Saccharomyces cerevisiae S288C: one gene and its partners. The gene in region 3 interacts genetically with the main gene of each other region. Each region holds a gene or a part of one and is shown on either strand. Other genes may lie near its edges.

Evidence for each region.
Region 1: mutations in CBT1 (region 3) and PTP3 together harm fitness more than expected from each alone (negative genetic interaction), as found in Saccharomyces cerevisiae (2 studies listed by BioGRID).
Region 2: mutations in CBT1 (region 3) and TOF2 together harm fitness more than expected from each alone (negative genetic interaction), as found in Saccharomyces cerevisiae (2 studies listed by BioGRID).
Region 4: mutations in CBT1 (region 3) and MFB1 together harm fitness more than expected from each alone (negative genetic interaction), as found in Saccharomyces cerevisiae (2 studies listed by BioGRID).

The regions. Positions count from the first base shown.
Region 1 is NC_001137.3:307,913-314,144, forward strand, and holds PTP3 (tyrosine protein phosphatase PTP3), read right to left. Parts: upstream 3,288-6,232; coding exon 501-3,287; downstream 1-500. Other genes in the region: YOS1 (Yos1p), read left to right, coding at 1-44, 156-211; YER076C (uncharacterized protein), read right to left, coding at 4,678-5,586. UniProt on the Saccharomyces cerevisiae protein: Major phosphatase responsible for tyrosine dephosphorylation of MAP kinases FUS3 and HOG1 to inactivate their activity; it also has important roles, along with MSG5, in the inactivation of FUS3 following pheromone stimulation.
Region 2 is NC_001143.9:458,080-463,583, forward strand, and holds TOF2 (Tof2p), read right to left. Parts: upstream 3,161-5,504; coding exon 845-3,160; downstream 1-844. Other genes in the region: chromatin-associated RNAPIII regulator FPT1, read right to left, coding at 3,556-4,617.
Region 3 is NC_001143.9:44,501-48,472, forward strand, and holds CBT1 (Cbt1p), read left to right. Parts: upstream 1-2,656; coding exon 2,657-3,472; downstream 3,473-3,972. Other genes in the region: ATP-binding cassette a-factor transporter STE6, read right to left, coding at 1-1,795; ER membrane complex subunit EMC3, read left to right, coding at 3,694-3,972. UniProt on the Saccharomyces cerevisiae protein: Involved in 5'-end processing of mitochondrial COB, 15S rRNA, and RPM1 transcript. May also have a role in 3'-end processing of the COB pre-mRNA.
Region 4 is NC_001136.10:904,955-909,397, forward strand, and holds MFB1 (Mfb1p), read right to left. Parts: upstream 1,899-4,443; coding exon 501-1,898; downstream 1-500. Other genes in the region: septin SPR28, read right to left, coding at 1-98; GTB1 (Gtb1p), read left to right, coding at 2,376-4,443.

The DNA of each region.
Region 1 (6,232 bases), on a different chromosome or scaffold from region 3:
CAAGGTTGTTCAATTGATTGGCGCCGTACAGACATTACTGAGGAGTATGTTATGTTGATGGAGAACGGTTAAAGTTACATTTCATCAGTTTTTTCCCGTTCTTTTTCACCTTTTGTGAGAAAATTTTACTAACGTTTCGTATATTATTCTTGTAGTACCATTAATTGGAATAAATATACTGGTGATTGTTTATGAATTACTATTGGGATGAACTAAGCGTACGAAGCAAATATTACATACTACTATATACAAGAAACAGGCTCTAATAGTTTTTTTTTCCCTTCACCTTTTCGGTTTTAGCTTTATTATAAAAGATATGAACAAAACCTCCAAGGGTAGTGGTAGCATGGTATGTGAAATTAGAGAGTTCATGCATAACTTGAAATGAAAATAATACTCTGTTACGTAGCTAACTACTGCCAAATATGTATCGAAAATATCAATTATTAAGGGGTTTCGTATTAATAAAATAGAGATCAAATACATTCATATTAGCCTAACTATTGTGGCAATTCTTTCAACTTATCATCCACGAATGTCTGCAAGATCTCTAATTTTTCGATTTGTTCAATTAATGCACTTAATGATATATTGTCCTTGTTACTTCCATCACCATCCGTTCTCTCTGTTATGTCATCAAGACGTAATCTAAAGTAAAATAGCAAGCAGTCATAAATGAAAATAAATTGATTAATGTTCTGGACCATGGATATTCGTTGCTTTCTAAAAATATTAATTGTCCATGAAATTGGATCGAATAACTTTGCCGGGTATTTTAATTTAACAAACTCTTTCTGCAACATTTCAAACATTTCGAAATTGGATAGAATGGAATCAATGGTACACAAAGTACCAGTCCTTCCACAACCTGCGGAACAATGAACCAAAATGGTAGGAAGTTGGTCGTTTTGATAGTAATTTCTGGCAAATAGTGTATCTATTATGTGATTCTTGACATTGATTGCTTGTAAGATTGAGATAGGATTGAGTAAAGTGCCCAAATCAGGCCAATTTTTCACCTGAATCTGTAACAATTCATAAGGTTTCTCTTGATCATGATATGTTAGCAGAATTTTTCTTATGAGAATTGCGTCATCATCATCATCATCATCATCATCACAAGCAGCAGCAGTAACAGCAATATTACTATTGTTATTGTTATTATTATTGTTGTCATTATCATTATCATTATCAGTACTATAGTTACTACTATTTCCCTGAACACCAGCTGAATATAAACTACTATTTTGTGTTCCCATAGTATTTTTCCTCATGCTAGTAGTGCTAGGCATCTTTAATATTTTTTTTTCTAACAATTTAACGTGAATACCGTTATAATTACCTTCTTGCCAATATCGATAACATTTCTCAATGCCATTTTCGAAATCATTTGTCAATGAGAGAACCAACGGAACGCCATTATTCAATATGCATGTATAAAAGTCATGTACAGTGGAGGGCATTGGAGCTTGCGTCGCTATATAGCGCACTCTTCTTGTTGTGGTTGTAGTTGTTTGAAATGACGAATTTTGCTCTACAGAAAACCTTGGCAGAGACAAATAGTTTGCGTTGATATAATTGTCGAGGATGCCACCATCGGAAGTAGAATGTGAATGCTTGATACCTTTTGATGATTGCAAACCTTTTTTTAGAATCACTCTCGAATGCTCGTAGGGAAAAATATCCTTGTACCTGTTCTTGGCTCCTAATTCAACGCCTGATGATATTATAACGTCATCTGACTCCGAATCGGAATCTGATTCAAGGCTGAGCATCGATTTATATTTACTGTATTGAGTGAAGATTGGCTGAGAATGCGACCTCTTTTGTACTTTGTTCACGTCAGGAAATTTTGGAGGCATGATTGTTGAAGAAGAAGTTGATGTTAACTGTTCAGGATATGATGATGGCTTTTCAAGTATAAACGAGTTTTCCTTCTTCCTGAAAGAGACAGAATGGTTCAAGCGCCTTTTTTCCAAAAAATCTAATTTTTGAAACTGAGAAACCAACTCGATCTTGGGTATTGACATCAGATGCTGGAACCATTCAGGTATAACGGAGTCAATGACCTCCTTTTCGTAATTTTTGCTCAGGTTTTCGTATCTGATCTGAAACCCTAGTTTGTCTTTATTAGTGTCCTTTTCTAGAGAATTTTGGTTCTTTGGGAATTGGAAGTTTTGTAAAGATTTTTTGGCAGAATCGTTATTATACCATCTTTCATGTTCTTCTTTGATGTTGACTGCACTCAAATACGTCTCTAAACCCATTATTTCTTCATTTTGCGAAAATTTGAACATTTGGTTTATGTTTGTTTGTGGTGCAGGCAGCTGGAACTTAAATAAGGCAGATATGGGGGAAGAAGAAGACATGGGAGAATCTGATAGGACGTTACGCGGAGAGGGAGAACTGGAAAAGTTTGAATGATCTGACCTACTATCGTCAGGAACTTTCAACTTAAGGTTCATTTGCGGAGACGATAGTGGTGTTGTCGCCGTCATATGCGGCGCTGTGTTGTGTAGACTGTTCATAAGGTTTGTCTTGGGGCTTTTAGGTTCAGCCGAACTAATGCAATCTGAGTTAAATGTGTTGGTGTTTATATGGTCTGGAAATAGAATTTTGAATTGAGGAAAACCACACATTAGTATAGACACGGTTTTTTTAACATTAGTATCAAACTCTATTAGCTTGGACGCTATTCCATAACAAGGTAAAGAAACAGAACTTTCCGTTTGATTTGCGGTGCTATCATAAATGATAATCCGAAGGTTATCGATGGCCAGTTTAGATTTCAACACGCTTTGCTCGCTAGGAGTTAAGTTGTCCAAGAGTTTGGAAAAGGTGAAATTTTTCCTCCTCAGCAGCGTGGAAGGCAAACATACATGAATGGAGTTTGTGATAATGGATTTGGCATGTTCGGTAAACGGCCTAACATCAAGTAAGAGCACCTTTTCATCTGGTAAGGTTTCAATAATCTTGCCCAGTTCTACAGCAGTAATTAGCGAACAACCCTGCGGCTTATTATATCGCTGTTCCTTGGGCTTGAAGCTTGGCAGGACAGGAGCGGTCGCCCTCTTCAATAACACCGGCGAAGATGTCTTATAGCTCACCAAAGGGCTACTGGCTTTGGGGCTGTGGTATATGTTGCTGTTCATGCTGTTATGATAACTGTTCATAGGAGCATGCCTCGAATATACATGCGAACTCGATCCGACCAAAGTGCTAGTCTCGGAAAGCACTGAAGTGCGGTCGGTGGGTAGAATGCTTGGGCAGTCTACACTGTCCTTCATGTTCTATATGATAAGTAGATCTGTGTTGCTGATGGAGAAGGGAGATACAATACGGATTTTCTATGAACTTTGCAGTGATAAGAGCACCTACGCTATTATAACACCGATGTTAGAATAATATGCAAGTTTGTGGTCTGTGTATACAGTTCTTTGTTTGTGCTTGAAGTGATGATGTTACATGTCAAAGAAAGAAAACCGCTAAGGTCAATGAAAATATAGTGTTACATCCGCCGGTGCAAATGGCGAGGAGAAGATTGGACTCTTGCGCATCGAACACTACCTATCTGCATCCATCCATGCCAGGTGCGCAAACTGTTGGGTCTGGCTAACACCACATTCTCGCTGCGCTGTGTTCTCCGATGACGTTTTGCCGCAAAATATTTTTTTCATGAAGGTCTTTTCTTTTCGTTCAGCGTCAGCGGGCCCAAATCTCAAAGTCGCCGCCATTCTGTTTAATGTTTAAAGTTTCCGCTCACTACACCAAGATGGCAGCAGGAGATGCCAGAAAAAGCGTGGGGTCTGGTCTGGTTAGATATTAGAAGTACATACACATCGGTGGGTGTGTAGCAGTGGCGACACATAAAATGGCCATAATGGGGGTGATTTTACGTATAGCATACATAGACATCTGTCGTTGAGGTTCGCTACCAGTGAACGGATTTAACGAGCAAGCAGCGAAAGTAGCCGAAAACCTCTTATTGTTAATAGTCATTTAGCAGCCGTTCTGCTGCTGTTTTCCTGTGGGGTGAGGTGGGCTGTGATTCGGTAAACTCGCTTGCGGTCTAACAAAAACAGAGAAAAACTTGGTACAAAAAGATTTCATTGGACGCAACCGGAATCGAACCGATGACCTCTTCCTTGCAAGGGAAGCGCGCTACCAACTGCGCCATGTGCCCAGAATTTCTGTATGTGTTGGATCTCAACACGGGGTACCTCCGTATAAGCAATTTTAACCCGTAGATGATTTTAGAGTTTCGTTCCTACACGCATGAAAAAGGTAAGATTGAGTATGCCTAAGATGAACCAATCAAAGTTATAAATACCTGAAGAAATGAGTTTAGATCTGTTGGATGGTGAAACATAAAAAACAGAATGAGGAATAATCGTAATATTTTTATGTAGAAATATCAAGTCCATTGTAAGGATTCTAATATCCTCGAGGAGAACTTCTAGTATATTCTGTATACATAATATTATTGCCTTTATCAACAACGGAATCCCAACAATCATCTCAAAGTTCACCAAAAGTCTCAAGATCCGACTTAAATCTTATATAATATGTAGAATTGCCTGCAAAAGTGTACGATTTTACAATAAAAAACGTCGAATTAGCTTTTCGCATACGTCTCAACCAAGAGGAGAGCGGTAAAAATTATGGGAAACTCAATCGTTAACCTTGCGCCTGATCAAAACAATCATTAATAGCCATATTATTTTTATCAACTTCTGGACAGTCAATACTCCAGGGATAATAATGGGACCAAGCATCATTGGCAACTACTCTCAGCTCGGCACGCCAAGAATCACCGTGGCTATAGGTAACACAAAACGCTGTCTTGCCGTGATTGTGCATACTGGATACTGAAACACGAACTGCACATGTTAAATTTCCTTCAGAGGCTGTAATATCACAGCTACTGTTTGTTGACCACGTCTTGACAAACAAACTCCAACCCTCTTGCCCATCAAAAAAGATATTCGTGAACTCCTGGCTGCCGCAAAACTTCTTGTCACCGCTCCCGTGAACGGCCCATGCTACCCATTGCGCTATGTAGCTGTTCAAATTAGTCGTAAGAGTTGTGGAAGAGACGGCCCTATTGTACAACCTAGACCAAGTTCTTACCTCCACTCCGTAAAACTTGGCTCTACAGAGGGTAGATTCACCTGTTTCCTGGTTGCGGTTGTATTGCAGGTCTGCTGGTGTTTCCACAGAACCATCGACGGCTACATTAATGGCATTACTGATACTTATTGCCGTGACGTCATTTTGAAGTTGCTCGACGAGACTATGCTGAGTGAAGTTGGCTGCTTGGGTAGTTATATTACTGATAATGTTAGGGTATTCAGTAGCATCACGCTTGTTGAAGGACTCAGGTACAGTACCATTTGCAGTTAATCCTATCGTCTGGTAAAATTCAACCATAGAAACTGGAGCGATTGCCAAATCATCGTCCATTTGCCAGAATCCTGATGGCAAGCCCTGGCTTTCACCGCCCGTCAGGTAGATCTCAGCACGTGTGCATGCGCATAACAATAAGATCGCATAAAAAAATGAGACGGTATAGTATCCTGAGGTCATTTTTCTCCCTTGGATTGATTGCTTGCTTTTGTATCTTTCTTATAATAGTTCTTTCAGAAGAGCCCAATATGCGGTTATTATATAAGTTAAGTTACGGCTATGTGAAGATTTTGAATAATGTAAAACTGTTAGAAAGCATTGCCTCTTGTATAAGATGTGGTCGCATTACTTCAGTTAATGACTTGAACCAGTTTGTTTTTCAATCCACGGCTGTATTCTTCACTAATAAAACCGATTAGCGGGAGTCAGGGAAATAGAAAGAATATTTGCAAATGGAGCACCATTTTAGAATTAATTTTTTTTCAGTGCTCACAGGTTGATGATAATGACAAAATATTTTGTTCTTTAGAATTATTTACATATTGTTTAGAGATGAACGATTATTCACACTTATTACTATATTGGTTTAAAATGGTTAACAGTTTGCTCGAGATATCAACACAATCTAGTCTTACATAAAACTTTCTTTTTTGTCCCTGGAAATCTGGCGCAAACCCTTTTTCATAGGATTGACTTAAAATAGTTGAAGAGCGATTTCTCTTGCAAAAAAAGGTGCTAACCCTTCTTACTTTGGTTTATTTTCGTGTTGGAACAAGTAGTACAAAAATATACAGGCGAGTTGATATAATAACATTATGTGCGTTCT
Region 2 (5,504 bases), 410 kb from region 3:
TCATCTCTTCATACATATAAATGTTGCAATAAAAATCAACTAATATCTATGTTGTCATATTGAGAAATGGGTGAATGTTGAGATAATTGTTGGGATTCCATTGTTGATAAAGGCTATAATATTAGGTATACAGAATATACTAGAAGTTCTCCTCTCCGGTCTAGGAATCCCCAAAATGGAATCTATATTTCTACATACTAATATTACGATTATTCCTCATTCCGTTTTATATGTTTCATTATCCTATTACATTATCAATCCTTGCACTTCAGCTTCCTCTAACTTCGATGACAGCTTCTCATAACTTATGTCATCATCTTAACACCGTATATGATAATATATTGATAATATAACTATTAGTTGATAGACGATAGTGGATTTTTATTCCAACACATATAAAGTTTAGAAAGATGACATAAAGATTAACTTAATACATGACTGGGTATACTTGAATTCTAAAATTTTCAACAAATAAGTGGTTGTTTGGCCGAGCGGTCTAAGGCGCCTGATTCAAGAAATATCTTGACCGCAGTTAACTGTGGGAATACTCAGGTATCGTAAGATGCAAGAGTTCGAATCTCTTAGCAACCATATTTTATATTTTTTTATATTGTGTTCAACAATGAACAATAATGACGAATAATCCAGAATGATATAAACGTCCATGAATAAAAGTCCGTTATAATCATATATAATTGATGCATACCGTACGCTATTAGTTCTCTTTTGTTGGTTGCTTTTGAAGATTTAATTATGATATCATTAACCAGTCTAAAAAATTACTACAATTCGCCAAGAATATTTAAGATATGGTTGAGAGATCCCAACATAATTACTGACAGACTTACTGGTCGTCTTCATCACTTTCAACATATTTAGGTGTTTGGTACTTCTTTGTATTTATTTCATTGTCATCCACATCCAGCATTGGTTTTCCATTAGAATTTCCAGCTGGTCCATGACTTGTTTTGAAATTAATTTTTTTAACTTGCACGTTCCTCGAATCAGAATCATCATCCGAATCATCTGAGGAAGAGCTATCCAATGAAGATTCAAGTGACATGGAAGAAGAAGAAGAAGGTGAAGAATGCGACCTGGTAACCTTGACTTTCTTGAGCTGCGGTGTTCTTTCTAAACTGGACGGTATCGCTTGGCCATTTTTTCTTTTTCCAGGAGTTGAATTCATAACTGGCAACTTGGGTGAGACTTGTTCTTGTTCCTGAGCCGTACTATTAGAAGTTGCCTCCACTTTGTCTTTACTATTATCAACAGGATCTCTCATTAATTTGACTACTTTTATGGTCGAAGCTGCATTTGGCGGTTTCCCAGCATTGGCAAAAATATCTTTTAGGGATCTATTCCCCATATTTCTTTTTCTTTTAAACTCTATAACTTTCGATCCAACATCATCAGTTTTTCGTTTCACTTTTATTTTACCAAATTTTGCGAATTTCTCACCGGAAATAATGGTATTGGGATCATCAAAGTGCTTTGTTTCCAGACTTACCCCTTTTGAAGTTATGGATTTGGGTTTATCTTTCTTCATTATTCCAAATTTTCCGTAATATGGTTCCGTAATACTATTCCTTTTTTGGACCTTAGTTTCCCCAGTTGGCTTGAACCTATTTAGTTTCCGAATAGTTTCTTGTATTTTTACGTCTTTTGCATGCGAAGTAGATGACGCAGCACCCAATGATTTATCAGGAAACTCCTTCTCAACAAGTCGAAATAGGGCTTCCTTACCTTGACTTTGATGTAACCGATTATTCAATTCTTTTTCAGGAAAAAAGGGAGGAGAAACAACATTTTTGGTACTTTGAGTACTTTGTACTGCATTTTCAATATCACTGTTGAATGAAACGCTATCCAAGTCGGAATTGATATCCCGAAATCCCATCGATGCCTTCTTAGAATTGTTGATAAACGAATCCGCACGATCATTATCGGTTTCATTAAAATCCTCTTCATCTGAAAATGCTTCTATCCTTCTACAATTCTCACCTATATCTTTGTCGTTCAATGGCAGATCATCACCTTTTTTGTTTTGAACTTTAATTTCTAAGGAACTCTTCCTGGGACTATGAGCACCACTAGAGGGGTTAGAATATTGTATATGCATATCAGAATTAGTATGAGAAGTAGTGCTCAATTGGAAGTCGGTATCAATCGAATCAAACGAAATTTGAGGGGAGTTTTCATCTGCGGGTTCATAATCAGCATCTTCTGACGAATTGCGTAAAAGATCTAAATCCTTTGATTCGGCCCTTTTAGCGCCATCATTTTTCTGTTGTTGAGTGGATGAAGGTATATTTTCTTTATTGTTATCACTCCCTTGCGTTACAACTCCCTCTTTAGCACGAGCGTGATCTTTTACGTCTTTGTGTACATTTGATGCCACTACTGTGGAAGTAAGTGGCATGGGACACTTTTCTTTATTCAGTGCATCATACTTGCTTGCAAGCGGTAGAATTTCGTTCATTAGCGGCGTTGATACTCTTGATTTATTAATGAAGTTATTCTTGAGCGAGCTTTTAGCTATTAGATGCATTGTATCTTTATTTGATATAGAAGATAAGTCTTCCTTAGAGATCTTTTTTCTCTTTTCAGTAACGATGGATTTTGTGGATGGCTTGTTGTCCTGCCGTCTCCGCTGTCTTGCCAATTGTAAAAGTGAAATATGTTGATTTCTACTCCAGTCTAATTCATCTTTTAAAATTACCAAAACCACACCATCATTTTCAAATACGTCTTTTATTATAAATTCAGAGTCCAAATCACAACCATGCCTATCTTGTAGAGATACGATTTCAATGGATTCTTTGAAATTTGGATAAAGTCTATCAAATTTAGTTAAAATTTCATTAGATAGTTGTAAAAGGGTATTGTCACCGTCCGTAAAATGTAAAAACTTTTTACAATTCGGGAGGTAGTTAATGAAATCACTACTACGATTCGACTGAATAGAATTTTGCGAAGACGGGCTCGTAGGAGAGGGGTCGCTACAGTTATTGATACTGTTGTTGTGCGTAATTATATCTTCATTATACTGGACCATAGGAGACACTGATTGTGGAGTATTCAAGCGTGCTTCGAGAAATGTGATAATATCTTGAGCACTTGGCGGCACCAGTACAATCTGTAACCTCCACATTTTTATCATTTACTTATTTGAACCAAACACCAAGGAGGGCAAAGGATATTATAAGAAATGTGGCAAAAGATTGGCGTATTTATTGAATGCTTGTATAATTGGGTAGCTAACCAAAAATGACTTGTTTTCCTTCTTCAGCGAAACTAATAAATAAACAAACAAACAAATTAGGACCATCTTGCATTTGAGATCTGAAGAATATGAAAAAAATTATATAACAGTATCGTATAATGCGACTTTTTTTCGTGATGCCTATGTAACAATAGTAGAGAAAAAACAGGTCACATTTCTATAAATGATTGAATAATTGGTTCTATATACGTACATACTTTTGGAGTTTTACTTTTATTCTCTTGATTTAATGGATGTAGATGCTATAAAAAGACATGTTTTCCCGGAAATAGTTAAAATGATATTTTGCCATTTTTATGCGGATGATGGCTATTAGGAGGGTTTTTAGTGATTTTTTTTTTTTCCACAAGCTGAAATTTTCGAGGTCTTTGTCTCGACCAGGCTCTCAAGTCAAAAGTTTCATAGTCTTCGGCCATCAATTTAAAATAGCTTTCAAAATTTGACTTGATCAGATCGTTTGTAGCACTTGAATGCATGAAATTCACGTTTGGTTTAGACTCAGGACCTTTATAGATGTAGTCTGTCGAGACAGCCTCATCATCGGTACTCAAAGATGAAGGAGACAGCGAATTTACCGGAGAAAAATGTCTTGATTCGCTTTCCAGAGATGCGGAAGGCTCATTGTTTGAGCACGATGCCAAACTATTTTCCTTAAGATTTTGTTCCTGGATGTTATACTTTTTCTTCATCGAGTTATGATAATTTTTTAAAGTTGTTGTCAAAAGTCGCTTATTCGATAAAACTTTGGTCTTTATGATAGCAATAGAAACAATATTTTTGAAGTTATCGAAAACCTCCATGTTGAACTGTTCCTGTTTTTTCTTTTGTTTGGCAATGCTTTGACATATTTTATCATATTGAGACCAAAATTGTTCAACGTTTAGTTTTGAGAGATCTCTATTCATTTTTTCTAGACAATTTTGTAACCAGGCCCGTTTATCATAATTTTTAAATCGTTGATCATTCTGGAAAACCTCCTTCCAGGAAGTGTTCTTAACCACGTTAGCGTCGTTATCCACGTACAACAAGGCAGACAACTTATTTAATTGCCAACGACCATCAGATTTCCAAATGAAAAAGGTGTCACTTATTTCTTCATATTCGAGAATGTAGAAATGGGGAATACAATTCGGCTTCAAATATGCGGGTGCACAATCTATCTTCAAATTTTCTGTTATGGTCTCAGAAGTTTGCAACTCAATCCCGTACAATTCTTGAATAGAATGCACGAACTTGATAACCTGAGTTAAAGTGAGACCTTCCTTAATACAGGTCAATTTAACACGTGGTTGTTCTTCACCAGCGTATAAGTAAACGGTTTCTAACTTGGACATGGTTTCCTTTCTTTGTACTTGGTATTTCTTCTTCTTTTTCTAGCTGTCTGTATGAGTACTTAACTGTAACAGAATAGTAATGGGTTCAGGCTAAATCTCTTTAATTATGGCACCTTTATGCTGATATAAATCCCTATACATTTCTTAGGGGTGTGTTTTGGTTTTTGGTCTCATAGTTTTGACAGCACGTTGGAACGCCACTCATGCCTTAAAAGGCCGGGTAATGATTTATAGTCCAATTATATCACAGCACTACAAGACGTCAAAAATTCACGGCGGCAAAAGGTCTGTAACTACCTAAACATTAAAAGCCTTTGAGCTATAAATCATTATGTACACTGAGAATGCCACATGCTAAAACAAGGAAGTTTTCAGCGAAGTAGCACATTAACTGACCACTCAATAGAAAGAAAACAGAAAGTGGAATGGATGGCCACTTTCATGTTATCAGTGGTGATTACTTGATGACAAAATAACGCTATTCGAGAGCGAGCTATAATTCTTGACCAACTGGCTCGACCTTCTTCGTCATACTGTAGATCAAAATTCTACCATTACTGGATTCTTTTTTTTTTTTTTTTTTTTTTGGGCTAGCTATGAACGTTTCCTAGTCCCGCTCACGCATTCTAGTTCTGCATTGGGTAAAAGAAAGCATATCATTAAGCGGCAGTTTCGGGTCGTTCTAGCCTCGAGCAAAACGAAGCTCAGCTCGCCTCTTTCACTATCATCCTGTGCTCACGTCCATGCGCATTCTTGGCAATTCTGCAGAGATCTCTCATCTGGGTCTTAGCGGTTCTCCGCACCCTGGCGATGTGCTTCGAGAACGTCTTTGTTCATCACATAGACTGCACTGCACTGCGCCATCATCTCGATCGATCGCGAGACTT
Region 3 (3,972 bases):
TAAATGTAGTGGTCGGATCGGCTAGAAGTTCAGACTGGGTGCCGCTTTCAACAACTTCACCTTCCTTCATTAAATATAAATAGTCATCAGATTCAATTTGGCTCAACTCATGCGTCAATATGATTGTAGTCTTTCCTTTCCTCCAATGCCTAATTGCCTTCATCAACAGGTTGCGATGAACAATATCTAGAGCCGATACAGCTTCGTCTAAGAATAATATTGGAGTATCTCTGATGAATGCACGTGCTATAGCAACTCTTTGTTGTTGCCCGCCACTTAGTGTGACACCCCCAGTCCCAATTAATGTTTCCAGTCCATCGGGAAGGTCTAGAATAAATCTATCCAGAAGAGCCATTTGACAGGCATCTTTGATTAAATGTCTATTTTCATTGGTGCTGCAATCGGCATTTCTTACCGAATCTGTTGAACCTAAAAGAATATTTTTTCTAAGAGTATCATTAAATAGGGTACAACGCTGTTCTACGACGGTGATATTTTCAATTAGCAATTTTTGGTCGATTGTTTGGATATTGTGGCCATTGATAGATATCGATCCATTATAGCCATCGTAGAACCTTAATAATAAGTTGGATAATGTAGATTTACCTGAGCCTGATTTTCCTACTATGAAAGTAAATTGTCCTGCAGAGAAATTTAAACTAACGTTCTTTAAAACTGCTTCCGAAGGTCTGCTTGGATAAGAAAACGAAACATTAGCAAATGTTAGATCACTGGTGGCATAATCTAGTGGAAATTGGTGGGCTACAGTTTTATTTAAAGGATTTCGCTTGGATCCATCTTTTAATAGAGTCATGATTTTTTCCATAGCCACTCCGCCTTTTTGAAGAACAACTATTTGGTGTAATGTATTATTTAAAGTCGAGCCCAGCATAATGCATGAATGGAAGCAAGTGATTACATCGTTAATGTTCAGCTTGCCCTTTTTGATCATTGCGGAACCAAACCAGAATCCCTGTACAAACATAGTCAACGTCAAAAATCTCAAGATCCCAGCGTTTGCAGCAACAAAAAAGCAACTCTTGATGAAGAAAGTGTTACAATTTAGTATGATTTCCTTGAATTTTTTCCTTTCTAGACGTTGTGTACAATATAATCTCACTAATTGAGCGGCATTCATCGACCATGTAAGTAATTGGGCTGCTTTACTCGTTTCAGAATTCTCCTTCTCTGAATATACATGAATCATTCTGGAAAACACCACTGCAAAAAATGTGATTATTGGAGAGCTGCAAAGAATAATTAAAGTTAATGACCAAGAATAGTAGAATGACGTCCCCAGAAGCGCACATATTGCAACTAAATTCTGGAAAGTTATGGCTGATGCCTCTGCGGAGCTTGATCTTAGCTCTTCCACACATCTGTTGATTTGAGTAAAATCTCCTAACAATTTTTCATTATTGTCGTACCATTCCATTGGCTTTTCCTCCAAATATGCCTCCAATATCTGTGACCGTATTCTAAAGCCTTGTCTCTCGCCGATGTGCATCCAACTTGTTAGAGAAAGCCACATTACTGGCACAGAAGCCGCACCAAGTGCCATTACTGCCATTGACCTCTGTACTAGTTGGGAATACAAACCTTGATGTGACCCATTAGCCACGAAAACTGATAGTAGATCGAACACTCTGCCCGTCAGGATAGAAGTAATTGCCGGCACTAGGCCTGTTGCCACGGTACCTATTATCATTATCATTAACAGCCTGTAGTCATTCCGTATGTTCACGTACCTGAAAATGTGATAGTGTTTTGTAGTCTTAAAACTTAAAAAGTTCATGACGTAGCTTGTTCTTTGTTTCCTAGTGGAATTTTCAGCGGCACTTGAAAGCTCTCTGTGTGAACGTAACAACGGGAGATAGTTCAGCCATATCCAGGTTTATAAGCTCTGGTATTTAAATGATGAACGGCAATAATGCAACAGTTTTCATATCTGAAACAATTGTATATGTGCGAAGCAGCGTGTAAATTTCCCTATTAGGTAATTACATGGCAAAAAAAATAAGAAACTATTTTCTTAAAGTACCTTTACCCTTTGTGGAAAACAATAAATTGTATAGTGGCAGAATAGAGAAAAGAAAAAGGAAAGGAACATATTTGTCAGTGCAAGGACCATCATTGTTTGAAAAAAGAGAGGATATTACTAGTAGGTAATAACAGCTATGTCGCGTTATATATATTATATATAAAAATTAAAAAATAGAAAATAAAATTTCAAATGCCCTCTGTGGGAATTGAACCCACGATCCCCGCATTACGAGTGCGATGCCTTACCACTTGGCCAAAAGGGCTGAGTAATTTTTATACCTGCTAAATTTGTGGCTCCGCTATACTTTACAGATTTATCTATTTTGAAGATGATACATTTAGCAAAAATGACCTTAAAAATGAAGCAGGTGCCATTTGCCTATAGCTTGGAAAAGTAGTAATGGTTATTCAAAAAGTTAGCAGCGAGATCTTTTTTCTATCGCGCGTTAAAACGTTTGAACAGATATATATTATTCAGCCACAACTATCTATATATAATATTTCTTCGATTTTTCGTTTTCTCAAGTTTCGTCTTATTGATTGATCAGAAGTTTACTGCGCTTTTGGGTAAAGAAGCATTAAACAAAGGAGAGAGAAATATTGCAAGGAAAAAATGGTGAGCTATGGAAGTCATAGTAGTGAGGTTTCGAAAGTTCTTAAAACGCCGAAGTTTGTGCTTAGGTATGGAAATGTATCCAGCAAACAACGTTTTGCCCTAAAGCGGAAGATAAATTACAAACTACGTGAAAGCAAATATCAAGAATACTTGAATGAATACAACACCTTCGTGCTTTACGACTGGGAAAACAGTGGCGCTGGTAGTCTTGTCGATTCTTCCTACAATCTCCCCTCTTTATGGAAGGAATTCATAACAGAGGGCATATCTAAAGGAGCAATAAACGACAAACTACCGACAGTCTTTATGAAGAGGAAGTTGACAAACTCAGCGTTGGGTCACTGTTTGGGACTTGATTTCCTGACTGATCCGAGCGAGTCAGAACATGAATACAGGTGCATGTTTCAGACAGTTCAGGACATCCCATCTCTCTCGCAACTGATCTTATTCAACAGCATGCCAAACGTTCCAGTAAGATTGAAATTGCATACCATTGGTATAAATATAAATTTCGGCTGCAAACGTTCCCTGATAAGCAACGGTGGTGATCAAGACACTGAAATGAGCGAAGCAGTCTCTTATATCCAGCCTTTATTGGAAGAATCCTCGAGAATGTACCGCAATTTAAACTACTGGAAGCTGTTAAAAATAGCACGAAATAACAAGAAGGATGAACCGTTGGATCAGAGCACGCGTATCAAGTCGCAAGTTAAGCTTTTACTGAGTCAATTGGCGACGAACCGAATTACCTCACCTTCCGTCACGGATCATGGGGGTCACAACTGGCTCATATTCACCAGAAGACGGTTGTAAACGATAAATATGCCATAAAGATCTGCGAACTGTACATATCCATATATAATGCGTATTATTTGGTGACTATAGCACTGGCTTCCGCCATCTCACTAAGAACGAAGAGGTATAATAAAGCATTGTGATGTTAAAGAATGACGATTAACCAGCATTTACAACAACTTCTCTTCAACAGAATAGACAAAACAACAAGCAGTATTCAACAAGCTAGGGCGCCGCAGATGTTATTAGATGACCAGCTGAAGTATTGGGTCCTGTTACCTATTTCGATTGTCATGGTTTTGACGGGTGTACTCAAACAGTACATCATGACACTTATAACGGGAAGCAGTGCAAATGAAGCACAACCAAGGGTAAAGTTAACTGAATGGCAATATCTACAATGGGCACAATTATTGATTGGAAACGGTGGGAACCTGTCTTCCGATGCATTTGCTGCGAAGAAGGAATTTCTAGTTAAGGATCTCACTGAGGAAAGGCACCTAGCCAAGGCCAAGCAG
Region 4 (4,443 bases), on a different chromosome or scaffold from region 3:
GACAACTGCAGTCCTTTCTTGTAACCCTTGCGACGTCTTAACTCATCTCTGCTGAGAGTATGTTGTTCAAGAGCTGAGTGATCTTTCATTGGGAACATTTGATTATTTACTGACTTTATGTACGTATAGTAGCTCTTTTTTTGTATCGATTTATAAAAATGCCTGTTCTTACTATTCTTATGGGAATGACACAAAATGTAGACGCATGTCTTTTTCAGGCGTCCTTAATATGAGCGATCAAATTTCGCATCAAAAAAACTTTATTGAAGTTAGAATATATGAAAAAAAGCCACGAAATTTCTAAAGGCAACCACAAATTGTCTTATTATTGATAGAATATAAAAAATAAGTCATTTATTTATATGTACATCTGTGCAAATGGTAGCGGCGCTCTTTAACTGTTTCTACATACCATGCATGCTTGTCTAAAACCATTTCGAAGTTCCGTTGCTAATTCAGAGAAAACTCTTCCAAGCAAAGTCGGTTTGAGGCGTTTTCTGTTATATATTAAAATCGGTATTAGCGTCAAGCCGTTTGATTACATGATCATTCGTATTCGACCCACTAGGGTTATCCAATTCGATTTTGCGATAGCATATCTTATTACCGTCTGTAACAACCGCCTTTAATTTGCTTCTTTGATGAGGTTTGGATAATTCTATTACTGGGGAAGTGTGACTTCTTTGAAATTTATTTTCATCATTTTTCTCTGTTATTCCTTTACAGTTCGAGCTATTTTCTTTTATAATTAATTGTTCATAATTTGCTATCTTTGTACTGTTGACTCTTTTAATTGCTAGAGGATTAGTTGTTTCACCGTTAAAATCGGGATAATGCCTTTCAATCTCCTCTAAATAACCTCTTGAGACGCTCCTTCTGCCAACTTTCGGTAGTATGTCAGAAGGGGGACTTATGATTTTCCTAAAATCTTCGTCATTAGCACTTAACGAACTGGATAATTTCAATCTTGGATTGTCCTTTTTCTTTGTTTTTAATGGTCTGCTATCTCTAAAAATTAACTTCTCAAAAAGTTCGGCTTTATCCTTGACTTTATTAGATTTTCTCAATCTTGTGATTGAGTCAGACGATTCAGTAGATGTAGGCGTCATCTCTTTATAATCAGGATCTCGTGACTTAGTGAAATCCATTGTAATATTATTCCAATCATCGTCCAGTAGTTTGGGCGATGAACTTGAAAATACAGAATTTGTTGAACTTCTAGAATAATTAGAAAATGTCGGAGAAGGGATAAAAGGTGGCTTTTTGACTAAGTCTTCTTCAAATGTTGTATTTTTTTCCAATCCGTGGAGAGAATGTATTTCTCCATTATTCTCCTCTATGTATGTATCATCAGAATCCGCTGAATGGGTCCTAAATGCTTTATCATTGAGTTCGATGAATTGATTCATTCCTTGTAGTATTGCAGTATGAGCGATTTGCTCCCTTGTTATTTCTGTAGGTTCGTTCAAATCCATATTTAAATCTTTCACAGAGCCCTTTTCTTTGCTCTCAACTTCATTTGTTCTATAACTTATTGTCTTTCTAGCCGGATCAATAACGCCTAGTTTATATTTCCGCTGAACATTTCTTAATGATGCGACCAGGGATATGTTGTGACTATTTAAGGTTTTCATTGCCTTTCTATTAAAATTCAAAACATCAAAGACATCAACAAGAACATTTTTTGTCCACCACATATTCCCGTTTGAGCCGATAACAGCATTTCTGTAAACAATGTTCTCATTCGCCAGCATCCTTAGCAAGGTGCAAGTTTTCCCTATGTTTTGTAAATCATTCATATCCAGGTGAGACAATATTCGGAACAATAGGTTTAATGGTAAGTTTGTCAGGGACCTTTCCTCCAGCGGCATCTGTACACTACAAGAAAATAATGTCATCTATGTGGTTGAAGGAACTATAACTAATTCTGGAACAAAAGTGAACTTTCCTTGTGCAGTTTGGCCAATTTGTTTTGATATTTTGTATGAGGATATTTAGCAAGTAGTAACAGAGACTCCTTGGTTATTTGAAAACTTTCCCTTTGTTTAAACTATAGCAAAGTATAACTTTCCTTTTCCTATTTTGTGAAAAAGTAAGTAAATATTGTTATCTCCTCCCAACTGGTTAAATACTGGGTAGGTGCACAAGCGTTTATAGTTTCTAAGAAGACAGCACCAGGAATAATGATAAACAGTTGTTTGGGTCAAAACAAAACGGGTATTGCCAATGCCTTTTAAAATACTTACCCGGCCATAAAATGAATAATAATAGTGTATGAAGACTGTGTTGGAAGATGTTATGGTAGAAGCAGAGGCTTCCGCACTGCATTTAAGAAGCATAAAGGCACTTCTGCTATTTCATTAAGAAGATTCGCTATGGTGAGCATGTTCTCATTATTTCTGCTATTAATTGAGCAATCGCCGCTTGTAGCGTCATTGCAACAAAGTCAACGGCATATAGTGGGTGTTCCCTGGGAAAAGCAGCACTTGTATGACTCGAATGAACCAGATTTGACTAAATGGCACTGTTTGAACCACGAAGATATCGTATTGGATATAAGCCAGATTAATGATGGGGTTTGTGATTGTCCTGATGGTTCAGATGAGCCCGGCAGCGCCGCCTGCGTGGAAGATATATTCAAAAGCGTTGCAGAGGGAGGTGGTAAAGTGAATAAGTATTTTTATTGTGATAACAAGGGGTTTATTCCAAGATATATACGAAAATCGGAAGTCGCAGATGGTATTTGTGACTGCTGTGACTGTTCTGACGAGCTACTTTCTGGATATGAGCTCTTTGATGCTGGATCTAATTGTTCTCAGTTAAAAAACGAATTTGACATTATGGCCTCTAAAGAGTTATCAAGTTACCGGGAAGGTAAAGAGGCCCTAGAAGAACTGGAAAGAAAATACGGTACAAAGGAAGAGGCTATCACCCGTGGTAATTGCTTAGAAGAAGATAAGGAAAAAGCTTCTGCCGAGATAAAAGTACTCTCCAACAGGCTCTCAGAAAATCGAGCCAAATTAGAGCAGTTGAGAGGCGAGTACTTTAACCAATTAAGCCATGATCCCATTTTGTATCAATTTGAACAATTAAACAGTACTCGTTTGGGATCGGACATCCTTACATCGTTCACTATGGTTTCAAGAGTAAGTAAAGGTTACCAGGACATATTCAAGATTTTAAGTGATTTATCAGAGGCCTATACTCCCTCGCTAAATGATAAAGTTGTCAATGATAATATTAAAAAATTCAGAAAAGTTAGAAGACGGGCTGAAAAGGCTAAAATTAATGCAGATAGCAAAATTGATGATGAGCAGGCAGATAATCTTTACTTGTACTTTACAGAAGAAGTACCTCAAATTTTTTTGAAAAGAGAATCTGAGAACACGTTGAGGTACGTCATAGGAAAATCCAATTTTGTTCAAGCGCTAGTGGAGGGTAAAATTAACTATACCAACGATATCTTGGAGTATATCAGAGAATTCCGTTTGATTATGGATGATATTTCTCAGAATTACAATGTTAACTTTCAAGATGCAGGGGTCAAAAGTGCTGTCGATTCGTATAAAAACTACCTAGGTGAATACGGCGAACTGGCTGAATTAGAACCAGCTCACCCGTCAGAGAGCCTTTTGAGATCGTTGAGCGAAGTAACATCATTTGTGAACGAGAATGCACCAAAGGTATTGCCACCAGACGCTGTTGAGTCAGAACAAGATACGAACAGCGATCATATCGGTACTTCTGGAGATTTGCGCAATAAACTCAAAGAGATTCTATCTAAGCTGAATATTTTTTCATCTAGAAAAGATTTGGTCTCATTAGAGAAGAGATTCCGCTCTTGTGAAAGTCAAGTCAGTCTCCTGGAGAATGAATTAAAGCAAAAAATGGACTATAAGAAATTATTAGATGAAACTGAAGATGAAGGAACTAATTCTACTGCAGGAAATCTGACTGAGCTTTTAGAACTAATGGGATCACAATCCTATTGTCTTGACGACATACTGGACAACTATGTGTACACTATATGCTTTCAACGTCCAATGACCGAAGGTGTCATATATCAAGCTGAGGATAAGGTTGACGGTAAAAAAGTTTTGATCGGTCGTTTTAAGACATCAGGTTTTAATGTTGACTTAAACATGGAAAAATACGCAGAACATTTAAAGGCCACATATGATGAGAAGAGTGATTTGATTTCAAACTTAGCAGCTATACAGGACGATGACGGTAACATGCAACATTACGTATTCGGGAACTTAAACGAACTGAATAATGGTCTGGTACTAGAATACGAAAATGGAGACCAGTGCTGGAATGGTCCGCGCAGATCGGCTACTGTATTTGTTCGGTGCAGCGACAAATTCAAGATTCGGAGTGTACATGAAGCGACTAAGTGCAACTACATCTTCGATGTCGTTGGTCCTCTAGGCTGCAACAAGA